3 linked regions of the Caenorhabditis elegans genome follow. The protein of the gene in region 1 interacts with the protein of each later gene in a pairwise test. Each region holds a gene or a part of one and is shown on either strand. Other genes may lie near its edges. The genes, in order: sec-16A.1, csn-4 and uaf-1.

Evidence for each region.
Region 2: the proteins of sec-16A.1 (region 1) and csn-4 interact in a two-hybrid assay, tested with the Caenorhabditis elegans proteins (one large-scale study listed by BioGRID).
Region 3: the proteins of sec-16A.1 (region 1) and uaf-1 interact in a two-hybrid assay, tested with the Caenorhabditis elegans proteins (one large-scale study listed by BioGRID).

Annotation. Positions count from the first base shown.
Region 1 is NC_003281.10:9,123,996-9,131,329, reverse strand, and holds sec-16A.1 (Protein transport protein sec-16A.1), read right to left. Parts: upstream 5,492-7,334; coding exon 5,477-5,491; intron 5,104-5,476; coding exon 5,064-5,103; intron 5,010-5,063; coding exon 4,910-5,009; intron 4,851-4,909; coding exon 4,683-4,850; intron 4,638-4,682; coding exon 4,043-4,637; intron 3,997-4,042; coding exon 3,884-3,996; intron 3,839-3,883; coding exon 3,400-3,838; intron 3,351-3,399; coding exon 3,195-3,350; intron 3,150-3,194; coding exon 2,874-3,149; intron 2,828-2,873; coding exon 2,622-2,827; intron 2,575-2,621; coding exon 1,503-2,574; intron 1,448-1,502; coding exon 1,298-1,447; intron 1,246-1,297; coding exon 960-1,245; intron 911-959; coding exon 828-910; 3' UTR 523-827; downstream 1-522. Other genes in the region: ZK512.10 (DUF4752 family protein), read right to left, coding at 22-72, 125-237, 285-375, 422-436; Protein ced-11, read right to left, coding at 6,278-6,562, 6,611-7,177, 7,227-7,334. UniProt on the Caenorhabditis elegans protein: Plays a role in the organization of the endoplasmic reticulum exit sites (ERES), also known as transitional endoplasmic reticulum (tER).
Region 2 is NC_003282.8:1,083,945-1,088,855, forward strand, and holds the start of csn-4 (COP9 signalosome complex subunit 4), read right to left. Parts: upstream 3,070-4,911; 5' UTR 3,064-3,069; coding exon 2,984-3,063; intron 2,366-2,983; coding exon 2,280-2,365; intron 825-2,279; coding exon 664-824; intron 1-663. Other genes in the region: cct-8 (T-complex protein 1 subunit theta), read right to left, coding at 3,868-4,058. UniProt on the Caenorhabditis elegans protein: Component of the COP9 signalosome complex (CSN), a complex involved in various cellular and developmental processes.
Region 3 is NC_003281.10:1,073,475-1,078,178, forward strand, and holds the start of uaf-1 (Splicing factor U2AF 65 kDa subunit), read right to left. Parts: upstream 3,082-4,704; coding exon 2,852-3,081; intron 1,002-2,851; coding exon 706-1,001; intron 1-705. UniProt on the Caenorhabditis elegans protein: Necessary for the splicing of pre-mRNA. Binds to the polypyrimidine tract of introns early during spliceosome assembly.

The sequences.
Region 1 (7,334 bases):
TTTCCAATAAATTACGATCCATCAGTGAGCTACTTCAATCCCATCTCCCATTTCGAACGTAATTGGTGATCTCTGAAATTTTGGAAATATACACATTTATTCAATTAGTCTCAATAAAACTCACGACGCTACTCTTTCTATAGCTTCTAACACTATTTTTATCAGTACGAATACCGTAGTGATCAGCGACCGAAGGTGAATGTTTCGCTGCTCCATTCACTGCGATAGATGCTCCTTCTGAAAATCTTTTTTCTGGAAACTGCCTGAAAATAATTGTGACCTACTGGCTACGGTATCCCACCAAGTAGTCATTCTGAGCGAGTTGTAGAGAGAAAAACCGACGAGAAGAAGCTCGAAGAGCACTGAGTACCAAGACTTTAAATATTCGAACATCAATCAGAAATATTAAGAGAAAACTCACGTCCAGTTGATACATTTTCGAATTTGCGAAATAATGGTATTCGATTAGTTTTTTGTTTTGTTTTTAATTCGATTTCAAATGTAAAATTCAAATAGTGATTTCACGGTACATTATATTTATTCATTTCAGTATATATTTATTTACCAGAGAATCAATTCAGAGCACATATTTTCTCGTCAGAACAAAGAAAAACTAGCCTACTTATTTTTCAGATAAAACCGTAACATATATAGTTGCACAACAAAAAAGAAGGAAGATACTATGGAATAATCACAGAAGTTTTTAGAGGAAACGGGCCTGACCAGATAACAGGAAATGGTTATTTGAAAGAATGATAGTGGGTGGGAGGGGGATACAAAAGGCGATGGGGACGACAACACATATAATTTGGAAGAATTGAAGCATATTAATCGTTATTCTGTTTGGATAATGATTCGGAAGGAGCCGTTGGTTCACCGCTGAATGGATCAACATATTCGGAGGAATCATCTGAAAATGAAATTAATTGAAGAAAAAACTAATTCTCAATTAATTATACCTTCAGTGGGTGCAGGCATAAAGCTGAATGACATTGGCATGGTTGGAGGCATCATCGGTGGCATTCCAGTGTCCATAGCTGGTGCTTGGCTAGTGGCCATTCCCGATTGAAGATATCGTGATCCAACTCCACTTCTAGCACTTCGCAGACTATTCGTGCTCGATTTGTTAGAATCAGGACCTCCACCCATCAAATGAGGAGCTGACATGACTGGCGGTGGAGCAGCTACGACCTCTTCTTCTACTCCAGCACCAACATATCTTTTCTGAACAGGATCCCAAACGATCTGAACAAATGAATATTTGATATTCAAAAAATCGGCTTTCAAATTAACATACACTTGGCTTTGAATCGTCAGGCAGGATCATTTGGTTTGCTGATGGAATCGATTTGATGACTTTTTCCTTAATCGATCCGAACCATCCTTTAGATGCTTTTCGTTCATTCAATGCAAGTTCAGGTTGTTTCTGTGGGACAGGCGGCGCAGTCTTTAATAATTAAAAATAATTACTTGTCATTCTGAAGGTTTCACAGAAAACTCACAGTTTTAGCATTTGGAATAGATGCTTGTCCTAGTGTTGCTTGTTGAAGAACCGGAGCAGAAGAAACGGCTGGTGGTGGTGTTGGTACACTTGGAGCTGTTGGGTTTGCAAAGTTAGGTGCAGGCGAATAAGATGGTTGAATATTTCGCGGTGCAGGTGGATATGAAGTTTGATTGCTTGGCGGTGAAGTGTCCCATAAATCATCCAGTTCCGAACGAGGACTTTTTGCAATGCTGGCGTCAACAGGTTTCGGAATAGGAATAGGTTGAGGTGATACCATGATTGGAGTACTGACAGGTGGAATAGGCATCGATAACGTTGGCATCGGTGGCTTCACAATCGCTGGAGGCGTCATCTCAGGAACAACATTTTTAGAAATTGGTGGTGGTGTTGAGATTGGTTTTTCGATAGTTTTTGGAAGGGATGGTGGTGGTGGTAAAGTGGATGAGGTCAACGTTGAAGTTCTTGATGCTGACGCAGCGACAGTAACCGAAGAATCGGATTTATCTGTAAATGTCGATTCAGATGACGATTCAGTAACCAGGGTAGGTGGAGGCAAAGAAGCACGTCCGGGTGCAATTGGTTTCTCGACAGTTTTATCGTTATGTTGTTGATCGTTACGTGATCCAATCTCCAGCGGCGCTTGATGCTCATCATGCCATTTTTTAGCTTCAGACGAAATAGATTTGTTTTCCACTGGTTGTGGCTGTGGAACATGTTGTTGAGATTCTTGAACTGGAGCTGCACCTAGCATTCCTCTCATAGTTGTAATCCAACCACTTTCATCAGGAGTTGCGGCAGCCATGTATTGAAGACTCTCAGCCAGATCGCAAAGATCAAACATTGCATTTTTATCGAAAGCTGCGACATACATCCACAACGATCTTGCTACTTCTGTACAATATCTGAACGCATCCGTAGCAAATCCACCAAAAGACGACAGCTTCTTTGCGTATTCAATACGAGCTAACTGATAATCAATCGATTTTGCTAGTGGTGAATCGACATTGTTATTTCCCAGTCGGAGAGCATAATCAAAAATATCAGTAGCATGAAGATCAGTGAATGAGAATCTGAAAAGCATGTTTTATGTTATGCATATTGTGTTAAGTAATCTTACCCAGCGGTTCCTGATAGTCCATCAACTCGATTCAACAAGTTAGATCCACTATGCACAAGGCCGATGTGCTTTCTCGAAGTTTCATCTCCGTCGTGAGCCACTGGAATAAATGGATCATAACCAGCCAGAATGCATACAACAAGGAGACAGAAATCAGCAGCACAGTTTCGTTCTCTTTTTGCTAGGAGCAAGCCGAGATGATAGATCTGAAAAAAATTTTACAGTTTTAGTTTTGCTTTTCTCCTGCCGTACCGTTTGCATAGCGGTCTGCGAGTTTAGATTCGCAAGAACAATGGCCGCATGTCGTTTCCAATTGTTGTCATCATCGAACGCCGAATTCGTCAGAATCGGAGGTGGTTGATCACTTGAAACTGCAACCAGTGTTGCGAATGGATCGTCAATGGAACGAAGATTCATAAATCGTGCCTCGATTTCCTCAATTTTCTTAGCGTCATTTGGATGCAGTCTACGGATCAATGTCATTGCGTCGGCATAGAGTCCATCGGTTATAGCACTTTCAACAGCTTCCTGAAAAATTATAATTATTTAATTAACAAGATTAGACAAAATTACATTAATGTGACCACCAAGAAGATACTTATTGAACCGCTCCTTTGCTTCGAACTTCGAACCAGACTCGGATGTCCCATTGCTTGAAATTCCAGTTTTTTCACCAAGTTCTTCCGAGGCATTTGTCAGCAGTGTTGCTACATCGGGTCCGGTGACTCTCTTAAAATGTTAAATTCCTACTAAGTTCTCAAATTAAAACAATTCTTACTCCATGTTGCTGAACCATGATTTCGAGCAATTGCCAGACGAGAAGAGCATCCACCACCTCACTTTTCTTTACGTCACCAGCATTTCTGATCTGGCGAAGAGCGTCGATTTGTCGTTGGATGTAGAGACGAACGGAATGAGTTGGAGTTTGTCCAGCAATCAGTGGTCCTTTAAAGTTCTGAACTGATTCGATCACTTTTCCAGATTGTTCATCGAAATGAAGAAATGTTTTCAGATCATCCACATGAACGCTGGATGTACTTAGAACATGTCCAGTGATACTATCGATGGTTCCCGCTGGTTTAATGATCACCAATTTTCCTCCAACACCAATGGTAGCAAACTGAAGGCAGGAGTGATAATGAAGTGGTCCGTTGCTCAACACTTCTTCGGGTTGCGAGATGTTAAGTTTTGGCTCTTCGCGTTCCTCGATTTTATGCCTATAATAATATTTTTGCTCATTGTACCGTTGGTTCCATACTCACTGATTGAAATCCAGTTTCTCGCTCTCTGCAGCTTCTTGTCGTGCTTTTTCGTACGCCAATCTGTCGGCTTCCAGTTGCTTCAGGGAGAATTCTTCTTGCATCCGCTTGCAAACCTGTAATTTAAAATATGAAGCAATTCAATTTTGTCAGTAATCTTACCTTAAAAAGTGCCAGATCTTTAGAATCACCATACCCGCGGTAGGAGTAGAATTCACGATTAAAAATTACGTGAAACTCATCAATATTGTTGTAAGGTTTGTTATTAACGGCACAGTAGAATACATAAGCGACACGGTCGATTGGCGGCATCTTATAGTATTTTTCCGGAGGAGGCATCGTTCGGAACACATGATCAACAATAGCAGAGCCAAGTTTCACAACTCCGTAGTAATAGCTTTCACTTTCGCTATTATAAACTTCAGAGGCAAGGGTATTTGTTACACTCCTGGAGCCTTGTGCTCGTCCTTCCATATAAAAATTTCGTACTTCTTCCTCTTCTTCGTCTTCTTCCAGCTCTTCTGAAGTCTTATCAGACTCTCCACTATCATATACAAAACCATTTCTCATTGAAGATGCGTTCGCATATCTTTCAGCAGCAGTTGATCGTGGTCTCACAGGCTCACGGTGGTTGTTCGGCAGCAATCCCACACCAGCACGACTATTCGCGTAATCACTCGCATATCCAGATGCATTTCGAGCTGAAGGAGCACCAGAGAAACCTTCGCTTGGGCCACGTGAAGAGTTTTGGTGATATCTGCAAATTTCCATAATTAGAAGAAGAAACTCCCTTGTTTTAAACCTTGAATAAGTACGGTCATATCCATTGAAAGTTGAGTTGAGGCCTCTTGAACCATTACTCATTCCAGTACCCTGCCGGTTACTCTTTTGAGATACTGGGCGAGCTGGTTGAATAAGAATGGGTCTTCTTGGTTGTGGAATATCGTTGTCCAGCCGACTGCGTCGAGGCCTGAAAAAAAAGCGATGAAAAGATATCGATCGGCGTGTGAAATTCTTGTATTCACTGACCTTGAATGGTTAACGGATGAAGCGTCATCATCGCCTCCTCTAGAAGACGGAGGTGAAGCATTGTAAGGATTATTCCAGTCACTCATATCGAAACCAGAAGCTGAAAATGAATAGTGATTGATAAAAATTGTTGATAAATCGAATTTTATCATACCTCCGGCATTCATTCGTTGTTCATACTTCATAGAATCGATCTGTAATAAATTAGGCGAATATACAAGTTAAGTGTCGAGATGTTAAAGTCTGTTGGGTAAATATAGAGAGGCAGAAGACAAGGGAAGAAAAGAAAAGAAGGGGCAAATTGAGGTCAACCGTGTCACTTTAGTGCCAACACGGCGACGCAAAAATGCACGGAAAGGGCTGCTGTGGGGAATATGGGAAAATGGGAAAATTGAAAACAAGAATAGTTCAGTTTTCCTTTGTTGGAAGTGATACGAACAGGTGAAAGTGAATGGGAAAATGATATGAATTTTGTTTTTTATTCTTCCAAATGGTAAAATAAATTCGGTTTTTACTTGTTTTCTTAATGGCCTTAAGATTTAAAATTACAATTTTGGGAAATCTTACCCTGTATCGCCGCATTTTCCATTCGAAATCCATAAAAATCGTGGGTTTTTGGGAATTTCCAATTTAAAGTTCAATTCAAAACGCCGCACGGATGTGTTAAAAGCGCGGTGCCACGTGAAGCCAAGCTTAAAAATAAAATAAGACAAAAAGTTCACGCGAGAAATGAATAAACGCGAAAAAAGTTCGAGGTTGAATGAAAAAAATAACTGATAGAAAAACTGTCGTCAGTTTCGGTGCTTGCGGAGTGAACATTGTGTACCGTAGCCACAAAATCGTAAAATCGAAAGCAAGGATTTATTTATTTGTTAACAGAAACAAAGTTGTTTAATAAATACGAAGATTTGTTTTTTCACGAAAAGAACTTATTTTGCTAAGGTATCTTTTATCTCCGTGTCACACCTAAACGGACCAAAAATAACGGGAAAAACAAGGAAGATGACGATAATTAATTAATGAATATACATAATAATTGTGTTAAATTAAAGGAAATAATATTAAGTAATAAAGTGGCGACAAGGAGAAGTATTCTTGGTTCTCCGCATTCGCGACAGTTCTTACAGTTTTACTGCACAACACTCCGCAAACCTAACCAACAATCGCTCTACAATATTTAGAAAAATTTGTTTCAAAACTGCTACAGTACCCCTACATTTTTTGTTAGGCCTCTCATTATATGTGTTTTGGTGAGTGCTTTATTTTTATTCTTCCAAGCTTTATTAAATTATCTCTTAGCTATCAGCTTTAAAAAACAAACATCGAATAACAATTTAAGTGAATTCATAATTTATGAAAGTTGTAGCATTATAACCCGTATATTGTCTTTGCTCGGAAAACAAGATCTGCTTGCCATGGAAGCACTGTTCCACGAATTGCACTCGTAGGAAGCCACGAATAACCGATAATTGTGGTTATTATACGTCGTTCTCGGAGAGAAATAGCCCAAACATCATGCTCCGTCCACGCGTTGTCTGTATCGTTTTCATTTTCTGCAACTTCTGAAGCCAAATGAGCAGGACTCGTGTCATTGGATGGTATTCTTTTGTCCGCAGTGATAATTGAGCTATCCAAACGTCGCATTGAAAACATCTGAAAATACATCACAAATTTTTAAAAGTAATCTTTTTGGTTACTTACATGAGCGTCAGAATCTGAAATTCCAATCATCTTCAAAATAGATGTCAGATGTTCATCTTTCGACGAGTTCTCCAGATGCCATTCATTTGGAATATTCTTCTGACTATCAACTAGAACTTGACATTTCGCTTCAACTCCACCACTCAAAACGACATAATAACAACGTCGATTAGCACCAAATCTCGGATGATTTCCTCTTCCAGCCATTCCAGTTCGACCATTCGGATTCAATGGGAAGCCGGCAGCTGAGAGCTTCCAACATTTATCATTACTACTAGTAACATCATTTGCCTGACGGCTTCTCCAAATTCGTTTTAGTTCTCCAACATTTTGCTCCGTGGCAATATCAACATACTTTTGCACATCTGATGGAAAATCTTCCGCAGGCTTACAATAGAAGGGGGGATTGTATCTAGGTACAAGCACTGTCCATGGCTTAGACACCATGTTCACACTAATCTTCAGAATGTTACTTTCTGGGTATTTCTCGAAAAATTGAAGTTCTGAAGCTTTTCGTGTACCCGAATTTTCATATGAATCTCGCAAAGTCATCATTCGAATGTGGTTCTGAAATTATTTTCAGTTTTAAACTTGTGTTTAAAAAAATAAATCTTACATGAATATTATGAAGTTCCTGAAGTTCTGATTTGTTTGCTGATATCTTCGCTTTCTGCTGTGTATTTTTCCATTGTTCCATCGAAAGCTTTCTCCAGAATGAGTTCAC
Region 2 (4,911 bases), on another chromosome or scaffold:
CTTATTAAAACTGATAAATCAATATTTTTTGCAGATGCTAAAACAATTTCCAAGTAAAAAAATTATGTATTCAGTGGGCAAGCAGCGGTGAAAGTGGTCAATGCAATATGATGGATTACGGGAATACAAAACCTAACCTTTTTCTGAAACATGATACATATGATGCTTAGATGCTGAAATTACCTGATTTTCATAACGAGACCGCTGAAAAAGTTTTGAGATTTCCACAATTCAACTTTTTTGGTGAAAAAGTCGAGATTTTCGCACAAAAAGTTGAATTTTGGAAACCTCAAAACTTTTTCAGCGGTCTTGATATGAAAATCAGGTAGCTTCAGCATCTAAGCATCATATGTATCATGTTTCAGAAAAAATTTAGGTTTTGTATTCCCGTAATCCATCATATTACAATGCCCACTTTCACCGCTGCTTGCCCACTGAATACATAATTTTTTTACTTCGAAATTGTTTTATCATCTGCAAAAAATATTTATTTATCAGTTTTAATAAGAAAAAACGGGAAAAAGCTGTGAAAAACGAAAGAAAACAGGCGGAAAACAAAGCAAGATAAATGGCCGCTGAAACTTGTCGGCCCCTCGGCCATGGCCTAGAAACCACTGTTCCTCGTCCCTCGTGAGGAAAAAGTTGCAGTGCATTTCCAAGTACCTGATCCTCATAAGAGATGGTTCGAGTCTTAATAATCGCCAAAATTCCTTCTGAAATAGCCTTAACACATTCTGATTCCAAATGTTGATTATCCAATCTTTCAGTGATAAGTGATACAAATTGACGTGATACAACCATACTTCCAGTCTCCAATGCGATTACTGCAAACATTTTTGGGGTTATAGGCTGCTAAAAATTCTAAAAGAAATACAAATTTTGCACTGAAACAGTGCAAAAATTGTAATTTTTAGCTGATAATTCAATTTTTTTATACAAATATTAATTTTTTCCTGTTTTTTTTAACGAAAAGCTTGAAAATCTTCGTCTAAGAAGCCTATTTTAAGCCTAAAAACTAGAAATTTCCACTTTTTTAAAGCTTTATTTTGAACCTGAAAATTTGAAAAAAAAATGGTAAAAAAATTCCATTTTTATTTAATTTTATGCGAAAAATTGAAAAATGTCCTAAAAGTCACATTTTTCGTTAAAAGGCCCTATTTTAAGCCTAAAATTGGCTGAAAATCCAATTATTCTGGAAAAAAAGTTAAATAATCACTTTTTCCGTGGAAAAAACAGCTGAAAATCCGATTTTTTCAAGAAAAATATATCAAAATCCCTGAAAACTCGATTTTTTCGTGAAAAATCAGCTGAAAATCGCTTAAAAACGCAGAACATTGAGAATTTTCGAGAAAAATCGTTGAAAAACGCACTTTTTCCGTGGAAAAACGGTTTGAAAATTTGAGTTTCTTAATTCAAATTTTTCAAGAAAAATCCAATTTTTGGGGGTTTTTTTTGGCTTCTGAGGGTGAAAAAGGCTCAAAATCTGAATTTTCTGTGAAAAATCGGTAAAAGGTCGCTTTTTATACCGGAAAAATCGAATTGTTCGAGGAAAATCTTTAGAAATTCAATTTTTCCCGCGAAAAAACGGTTGAAAACTACTGGCTGAAAATCACATTTACCGTGAAAAATTGGAAATTTCGCGTTTTTTAAAGGAAATTTTTAACTTTTCAAAAAAAAAAAACAAAACTGCAGAAAACGAACGAAAAATTGGATTTTTGTGAAAATTCATAAATTACATTGAAAAATTTTTTTTTTTGGATTTGGAGCTGAATATTGGCAGAAAATCCGATTTTTTCAGGAAAAATCTTTAAAAATTTACATTTTTTTTTACAAAATGGACTCAAAATTAGCTTAAATCGCTCGAAAAAGGCTGAAAATTCCATATTTTTCACTTAAAATATTTCACTTAAAATATGGAATTTTCAGCCTTTTTTGAGCGATTTAAGCTAATTTTGAGTCCATTTTGTAAAAAAAAATGTAAATTTTTAAAGATTTTTCCTGAAAAAATCGGATTTTCTGCCAATTTTCAGCTCCAAAAATTCAAAAAAAAATTTTTTTCAATGTAATTTATTTATTTCCAGCTAAATTTCAACAGGAATTCCGAAAATGTTCTCGTTTTCCGTCAATTTTTATCGAGATTTATCGATTTTCAGCCAGATTCCAACCAAATTGTCCAATTTTGAGCGATTTTCGTCCATTTTTTCACCAAAACTCATCATTTTTCGTAATTTTTAGCCAGATTCCCACTGAAAAATCCGAAATTTTCGTCGTGTTCCAACCTGTATCAATGATTTTAATAATTTCCGCCGTATCGACTCGTCCCATCGCATTTTGTGGCAAATATTTGTTGCAAAGCTTCGCCAATCTGCAAAAATCGGGGAATTTTTTGTCTGAAAATCGAGAAAATTTCGGCTTTTTAGCTAAAAAATTACATGAAATTTCAGAAAATCACATTTTACGTGAAAAAGCTGAAATTTTTAGCGTGATTTTCAGCAAAAAAATTAAAAAATTTTTTTAATTTGAGAATTTTCGAGTTTTTTGATACAAAAATTGGAAATTTTTTAGCTAATAATTAGTTTTTTTCCAATTTTTGAACGAAAAAAGTGCGGGATTTGTAAGAATTTTTCATTTCAAAATTCGTAGAAAATAAATGAAAACTTGAGTTTTTAAATAGAATTTTTCAGATTTTAAGTATAAAAATTTGAAAATTTCAGATTTTCTGGAAAAAAAAGATAAAAATTTCAATTTTTCGCGAATTTTACTAATTTTTTAAATTAGGAAATGTTTTTGCGTGAAAATTCGTTTTTTTTTCAAAATTTCTACATAGCTAAAATCGTTTTTTTTTTTTCATATTTTTTCAGCTGAAAATTTACAAAATTCAGATTTTCCAATGAAAAATACAAAAATTTGGGATTTTTTGCTAAAAATTTCCAGATTTTCACATTTTTAGCTCCAAATTTTCTCAAAAATCCAAAAATATTACGCTTCATATTGAGCCTTGTGATCGGTATCCTGTGCAAAAATGACCGCCACCTCCTGTGAACGTTCAATTTCGCCGCTCATTTTCAGCTGAAATTGTGGAAATTTTACAACAAAATTTTGGGGGGAATTTTCAGATAAAAATATAGGAAATTCGACTATTTTTTCTTTAAAATTTCTAATTTTTTGTGATTTTTTTGGAGAATTTTATAACAAACACAACGTGAAGCAAAAAACGAGAAAAAAAAACAAAATTTCGAGGGGGAAAAGCTGAAAATTATAGAATTTAAGGCGCAATTTTAAGATCATAAACTGTGATTTTCAGATTCAGAACGGGTTGGGGGATAGCATTAAAAATTATGGAGAATTGGAGGAAAAAGGCTGAAATTCGGCTGAAAATGGGGCAAAAGTTCGATTTTTCAGAAGAAAATGACAATTTTAAGCCCATTTTCTGGCAAAAACTGGAAAATTTTGGCTGAAAAATGCAAATTTTTAGCTAAATTTGACCAAAATCGAGTAAATTTGGAACTGAATTTTCGCGTTAAAAAAAAAAAATTAATTTTTAAGCAAAAATCGAATTTTCAGCTCATTTTCCAGCGAAAATCAATAAAAACGGGGAAATTGCAAAAAATCATACGGAGAAGGCATATAGAGCGGGAAAATTTAAAAAATACGGGGAAAAATGGTGGAAAATGAGCTAAAAACTGTTAAGCGAATTTTCAAGATAATTGCAATTTCAGCTCAATTCCCAGGGAAACGGCGGGGAAATTCGAGGGGAAAATCTGAAAAAGTGGGGGAAAATTGTCTAAAATTTCGCTGAAAAATCGATTTTCAGCTCATTTTCACTCAAATTTCCCCAATTTTTCAGCAAAAATGCACACAAAAAAATTAGGCCATTCCATCGTCATCCTCATCTTGAGCCTTTGGTCCACGTGGTTTTGGTCCTCCAGTCGCCTGCTTTGACATAATAATCTGATCAACTTTGAGAATTGTGCTGGCGGCGTCTGTGGCGAGCTTAATTGCCAGTCGTTTTCCAGCGTAGAGGTCGAAAATGTTGTTGACGACGGCGTCCATTGTTTCTGAAAAAAAAGAAGGAATTTTAGTTTAAAATTCGGGATTTTTCAGAATTTTGATTGAAAATTTACAAGTTTTATGCGCTGGAAATTGACATTTTTAGCCAAAATTTCGGGGGGTTTTGAGGAATTTTTACCTGAAAATTTGGCATTTTTCAGAGTTGAAAATGGCCGATTTTTGGCTGAGTTTTCGATTTTTTCATTCAATTTTTTGCATTTTTGAGTTGATTTAAAGAAATTTCAGTTGAAAATTTCGGATTTTCAGCTAATTTTCTGAGCTTGAACCGAAAAGTTGAGGTTTTTCAAAAGGAAAATTGGCCAATTTTGATTAAAACTTGAAAATTTTCTGTCAGTTTGCTGATATTTTTTTTTGGAATTTTTAGCAAAAATTGAATGTGTTGTCTGGAATTGGGGGATTTTTTTTGGAAATTTTGACGTTTTTTGGAAGAATTTCAGTTGACTTTTGACTGAAAATTGCCTATTTTTAGCGAAAATTCCGGGTTTTGTGAGGGTTTCCAGCTGTGAAAAATCAGTTATTTTAATGCAAAAACTGAAGAAAACTTTAAAAAAGTGAAGCAAAACAAAAGAAAATTGATGTTTCCGGTCACATTTTCAGTCAAAAATGCACATTTTCAGGTAAAATTCAAGTTTTTCGGCCATTTTTCGACCTAAATTATTGGATTTACAGTGGAAAATTTAGGTTTTCGGCGAATTTCAGCCGAAATTGTTAGATTTTCAGCAGAAACAGCGGAATTCCGGTGAAAATTCAAATTTTCAGTTAGAAATGTTTTCGGTAAATTTCAGCAGAAAATTTTGAATTTTCAGTCAAAAATTAAAGTTTTCCAGTCATTTTTCGACC
Region 3 (4,704 bases), 8.1 Mb from region 1:
AAATTCAAATTTTCCCGAATTTTCACGTGAAAAACGGCAATTTTCACGAATTTTCCCGAGTTTTTAGTAAAAATATCCAATTTTTATTGAATTTTTCAGAGTTTTCAGTGAAAAAATCCAATTTTTCCGAATTTTCAGTAAAAAATCCAATTTTTCCGATTTTTCAGTGAAAAATTCAAATTTTCCCGAATTTTCACGTGAAAAACGGCAATTTTCACGAATTTTCCCGAGTTTTTAGTAAAAATATCCAATTTTTATTGAATTTTCGATGAAAAATTCGAATTTTTCCGAATTTTCGATGAAAAATTCGAATTTTTCCGAATTTTCAGTGAAAAAATCGAATTTTCTCGAATTTTCAGTGAAAACTGCCAATTTTCTCGAATTTTTCCGAATTTTCAGTGAAAACTGCCAATTTTCTCGAATTTTTCCGAATTTTCAGGCAAAAACTGCCAATTTTCTCGAATTTTTCCGAATTTTCAGTGAAAACTGCCAATTTTCTCGAATTTTTCCGAATTTTCAGTGAAAACTGCCAATTTTCTCGAATTTTTCCGAATTTTCAGTGAAAACTGCCAATTTTCTCGAATTTTTCCGAATTTTCAGTGAAAACTGCCAATTTTCTCGAATTTTTCCGAATTTTCAGGCAAAAACCGCCAATTTTCTCGAATTTTTCCGAATTGTCAGGCGAAAAATTCCATTTTTCCGTACCAACAACGGGCACTGCAGACTGTACAGATCCACGTGGAACCTGTCCAGCCGCCTGCATATTCTTGTACTCCATCGGTGTAGTTGTCTCGAATCCAGTCGGCGGAACATCCCAGAATCGGTACTTTTTGGGCTCACGAGGCTTCTGGGGCTCCGGCTCACGGCGCGAACGGGCTTCATCATCACCTCCACGACGTCTCGGCTCATCACGACCACCACCGCCTCGACGACGTTCACGGGATCGAGAACGATCACGATCACCTCCACCTCCACCACCACGACGTTCTCCACGATCACGACTGAAAATGGGGGGTTTTTGGGGTTTTTTGCCGGGAAAAATCGATTTTTTTGCGATTTTTTAGGTTAAAAAATGCGGATTTTCAGTGACTTTCAGCTAAAATCGCAATTTTCCAGTGTAAAAATCGATTTTTTTTGCAATTTTTTGGCTAGAAAAATTGCAATTTTTGGCAGTTTCGCAGGTTTTTGGCGGGAAAAATCGATTTTTTCGCGATTTTTTGGCTAGAAAAATGAGTTTTCATGCAGAAAAATTGCAATTTTTGGCAGTTTCGCAGGTTTTTGGCGGGAAAAATCGATTTTCTCGCGATTTTTTGGCTAGAAAAATGAGTTTTCATGCAGAAAAATTGCAATTTTTGGCAGCTTCGCAGGTTTTTGGCGGGAAAAATCGATTTTTTGCGATTTTTTAGGTTAAAAAATGCGGATTTTCAGTGATTTTCAGCTAAAATCGCAATTTTCCAGGGGAAAAATCGATTTTTGCGCACTTTTTTGGCTAGAAAAATGAGTTTTCATGCAGAAAAATTGCAATTTTTGTCAGATTCGCGCAGGTTTTTGGAAGGAAAAATCGATTTTTTAAGTTAAAAATGTAAATTTTCGCAATTTTCCACTGGAAATTCGATTTTTCGCCAACTTTTGGACAGAAAATTTGACTTTTCCGTGGAAACTCAGCTAAAATTGCGATTTTTTGAAGGTTTTTGGGCGGAAAGATGGATTTTTCGCAAATTTTTGGACAGAAAAACCATTCTTATTGCGTTTTTCAGTACAATTTGAGTAAAAACCGCCACTTTTTATTGTAAAAATTCAAAATTTTTAGGTAAAATTTGACCAAAGAACGCAATTTTCCACTGGAAAATCGATTTTTTGCGGTTTTTTGGACAGAAAATTAGACTTTTCAATGGAAATTCAGCTAAAATTGGGACTTTTTGGAGGTTTTTGGGCGGAAAAATGCGAATTTTTTTGGTGGAATTTAATTAAAAAATCTATTTTTGGCGAGTTTTTGAACAGGAAAATGGATTTTATCGTTACTTTTTAGGTTAAAAAAATGGGAATTTTCGTGGGAAATTTAGCTAAAATTGCGATTTCTCGCTTCCACGACTGAAAATTTCGGGGTTTTCGGCAGGAAAAATCGATATTTTACAACTTTTTAGGTTAAAAAATGGGAATTTTCGGTGGAATTTGACCAAAAAACGCAATTTTCCAACTGAAAATCGAATTTTTGCAAACTTTTGGACAGAAAATTTGACTTTTCCGTGGAAATTCAGCTAAAATTGCAATTTTTTGGAGGTTTTTGGAAGGAAAAATCGATTTTTTGCGATTTTTCAAAGTAAAAAATGCGAATTTTCGGTGGATTTTCAGCTAAAATTGCATCTTTTCCGCTTTTCCTGTGAAAAAATCGATTTTTCATAGATTTTTGGCAAAGAAAATGAAAATTTTGGTGGATTTCTTCAAGCAAAAATCGATTTTTTAAAGAGTTTTTTGGCAGGAAAAATGGGATTTTCGGTAGTGTTTTTCATGGAAAATCATCAAATTTCGCTCTGAAAATCCGATTTTGGGTCAATTTTCTTCAAATTTAGACCATTTTCTAGCGGAAAACTCGATTTTCGCAGAGTTTTCGACGAAAATCCTCGAATTTTTGCTCTAAAAATGTTGATTTTCTGGGTTTGAAGTCATTTTTAAGCCGTTTTTCATGCAAAAAGCGATTTTCAGCGTAATTCTGGCCAAAAAAAAACAAAATTTCCTCCTAAAAATCCGATTTTGGGTCAATTTTCTAGCGGAAAACTCGATTTTCGCCGAGTTTTCCACGAAAATTCTCGAATATTCCGTCAAAAAATGCAATTTTTTCCAGCTTAAGCACCTTCTCGAGCGTCTTCTCGTATCGCGATCTCTACTTCTCGATCGTTTTCTCTTTTTCCGATCATTATCATCCTCTCCACCACCACCACCAGTCGATGATTTCAGATTTTCTTCATTTTCCAGTGGTCCAGTGGTCGGCTGAATCGCTTCGAGACCTCCTTCACGTTGAGCAACGTCCAAAAATTGGCGTTCAATATCTTCAAGTTTCATGCCATCCTGGTGATCACTCATCTGGAAAATTGGGAATTTTCTTTAAAAAATAGAGCTGAAAATCCGGAGAAAATGGATGGAAAAATTTGAAAATTTGGGCAGAGGTTCCCCGGGAAAGTGGTCAAATGTGCTCCTGTGAGCAATTTCGGGTGGAAAATTCCAAAATTTTGTAATTTCTAATGCAAAAGTTTGGAATTTTCACACCAAAATCACCGATAGAGCACATTTGCCACGGAAAATTGAATTTTAATCTGAGAGTTTAGCACATTTTTGCGAGAAAAACTGAAAAAAAAATTTTGCAGTTTTCTGAGTAAAATTGGTTAATTTTTTCAGGATTTTCCTGAATTTTGGGCTCCGAGAGCATTTTTGGATACTAATTCCACATTTTTCAATTTTTCTCGAATTTTCACGTGAAAAACGGCAATTTTCACGAATTTTCCCGAGTTTTTAGTAAAAATATCCAATTTTTATTGAATTTTTCAGAGTTTTCAGTGAAAAATTCCAATTTTTCCGAATTTTCTGAAAAAAAAAACCGAAAATTCGGAGAAATTCACGAAAAAATGGGTTTTTTTAATGGAAAAATAGCTGAAAATTCGGTGGAAATCGCGAAAAAATGAGTTTCTCTGAAAAAAAAAATAGCCGAAAATCAGGGGAAAACCGCGGAAAAATGGAGACAATTGGGCGAAAATGAGGAAATTTGGCGATTTTTTGGAAAAATCGTTGAAAATTCGGTGGAAATCGCGAAAAAATGGAGGTTTTTCTGAAAAAATAGCTGAAAAACCCGACAAAATGGCGAAAATATGGAAAAAAATAGGGTGAAAGTGAGAAAATTTGGAGTTTTTCTGGAAAAAATTGCTCAAAATCGCGAAAAAATGGAGAAAATTGGACGAAAATGAGGAAATTTGGTGATTTTTTAAAAAATTGCTTAAAATTCGGTGAAAATGCTGGAAAAATAGCTCCAAAACGATAAATTGTGAGAAAATAAACGGTATTTGAGTGAATTTGCCGAAAAAATAGGAGTTTTTCTGGAAAAAATAGCTGAAAATCCCGAGAAAATGGCGAAAATATGGAATAAAAAGGTTGGAAATGAAGAAATTTGGGGTTTTTTGGCGAAAAATTGTTTAAAATTCGGGAAAAACCGCGAAAAAATGGAGAAAATAGGTTGGAAATGAGGAAATTTGGTGATTTTTTTACGAAAAAAAAAGAAAATTCGGTGAAAATGCTGGAAAAAAGAGCTCCTCGCTAAAATAGGCGAAATTTGAGTGAATTTGCCGGAAAAAACTGAGATTTTTCTGATAAAATAGCTGAAAATTCGGTGAAAATCGATAAAAAATAGCTTAAATGATGAAAAATCGCTGAAAAATGAGATTTTGCTGAAAAATAGGTAGAATCTATAAAATTTCGGGGAAAATGATGGAAATAATAGAAAAATGGGTAAAAGCACACACAAAATTAGGCTGAAAATCAATAAAATTAGGTGAAAAATGACAAAAATCTCCCAAAAAAATCGATAAAAAAATAGCTGAAAATCTGCAAAAAATCGATGAAGATATGCTGAAAATCGCTGAAAACGAGAGAAAAAATAACACAAAAATCCAATAAATTACAGGAAAAATGTTGCAATTTTATAGCAAAAAAACGGGG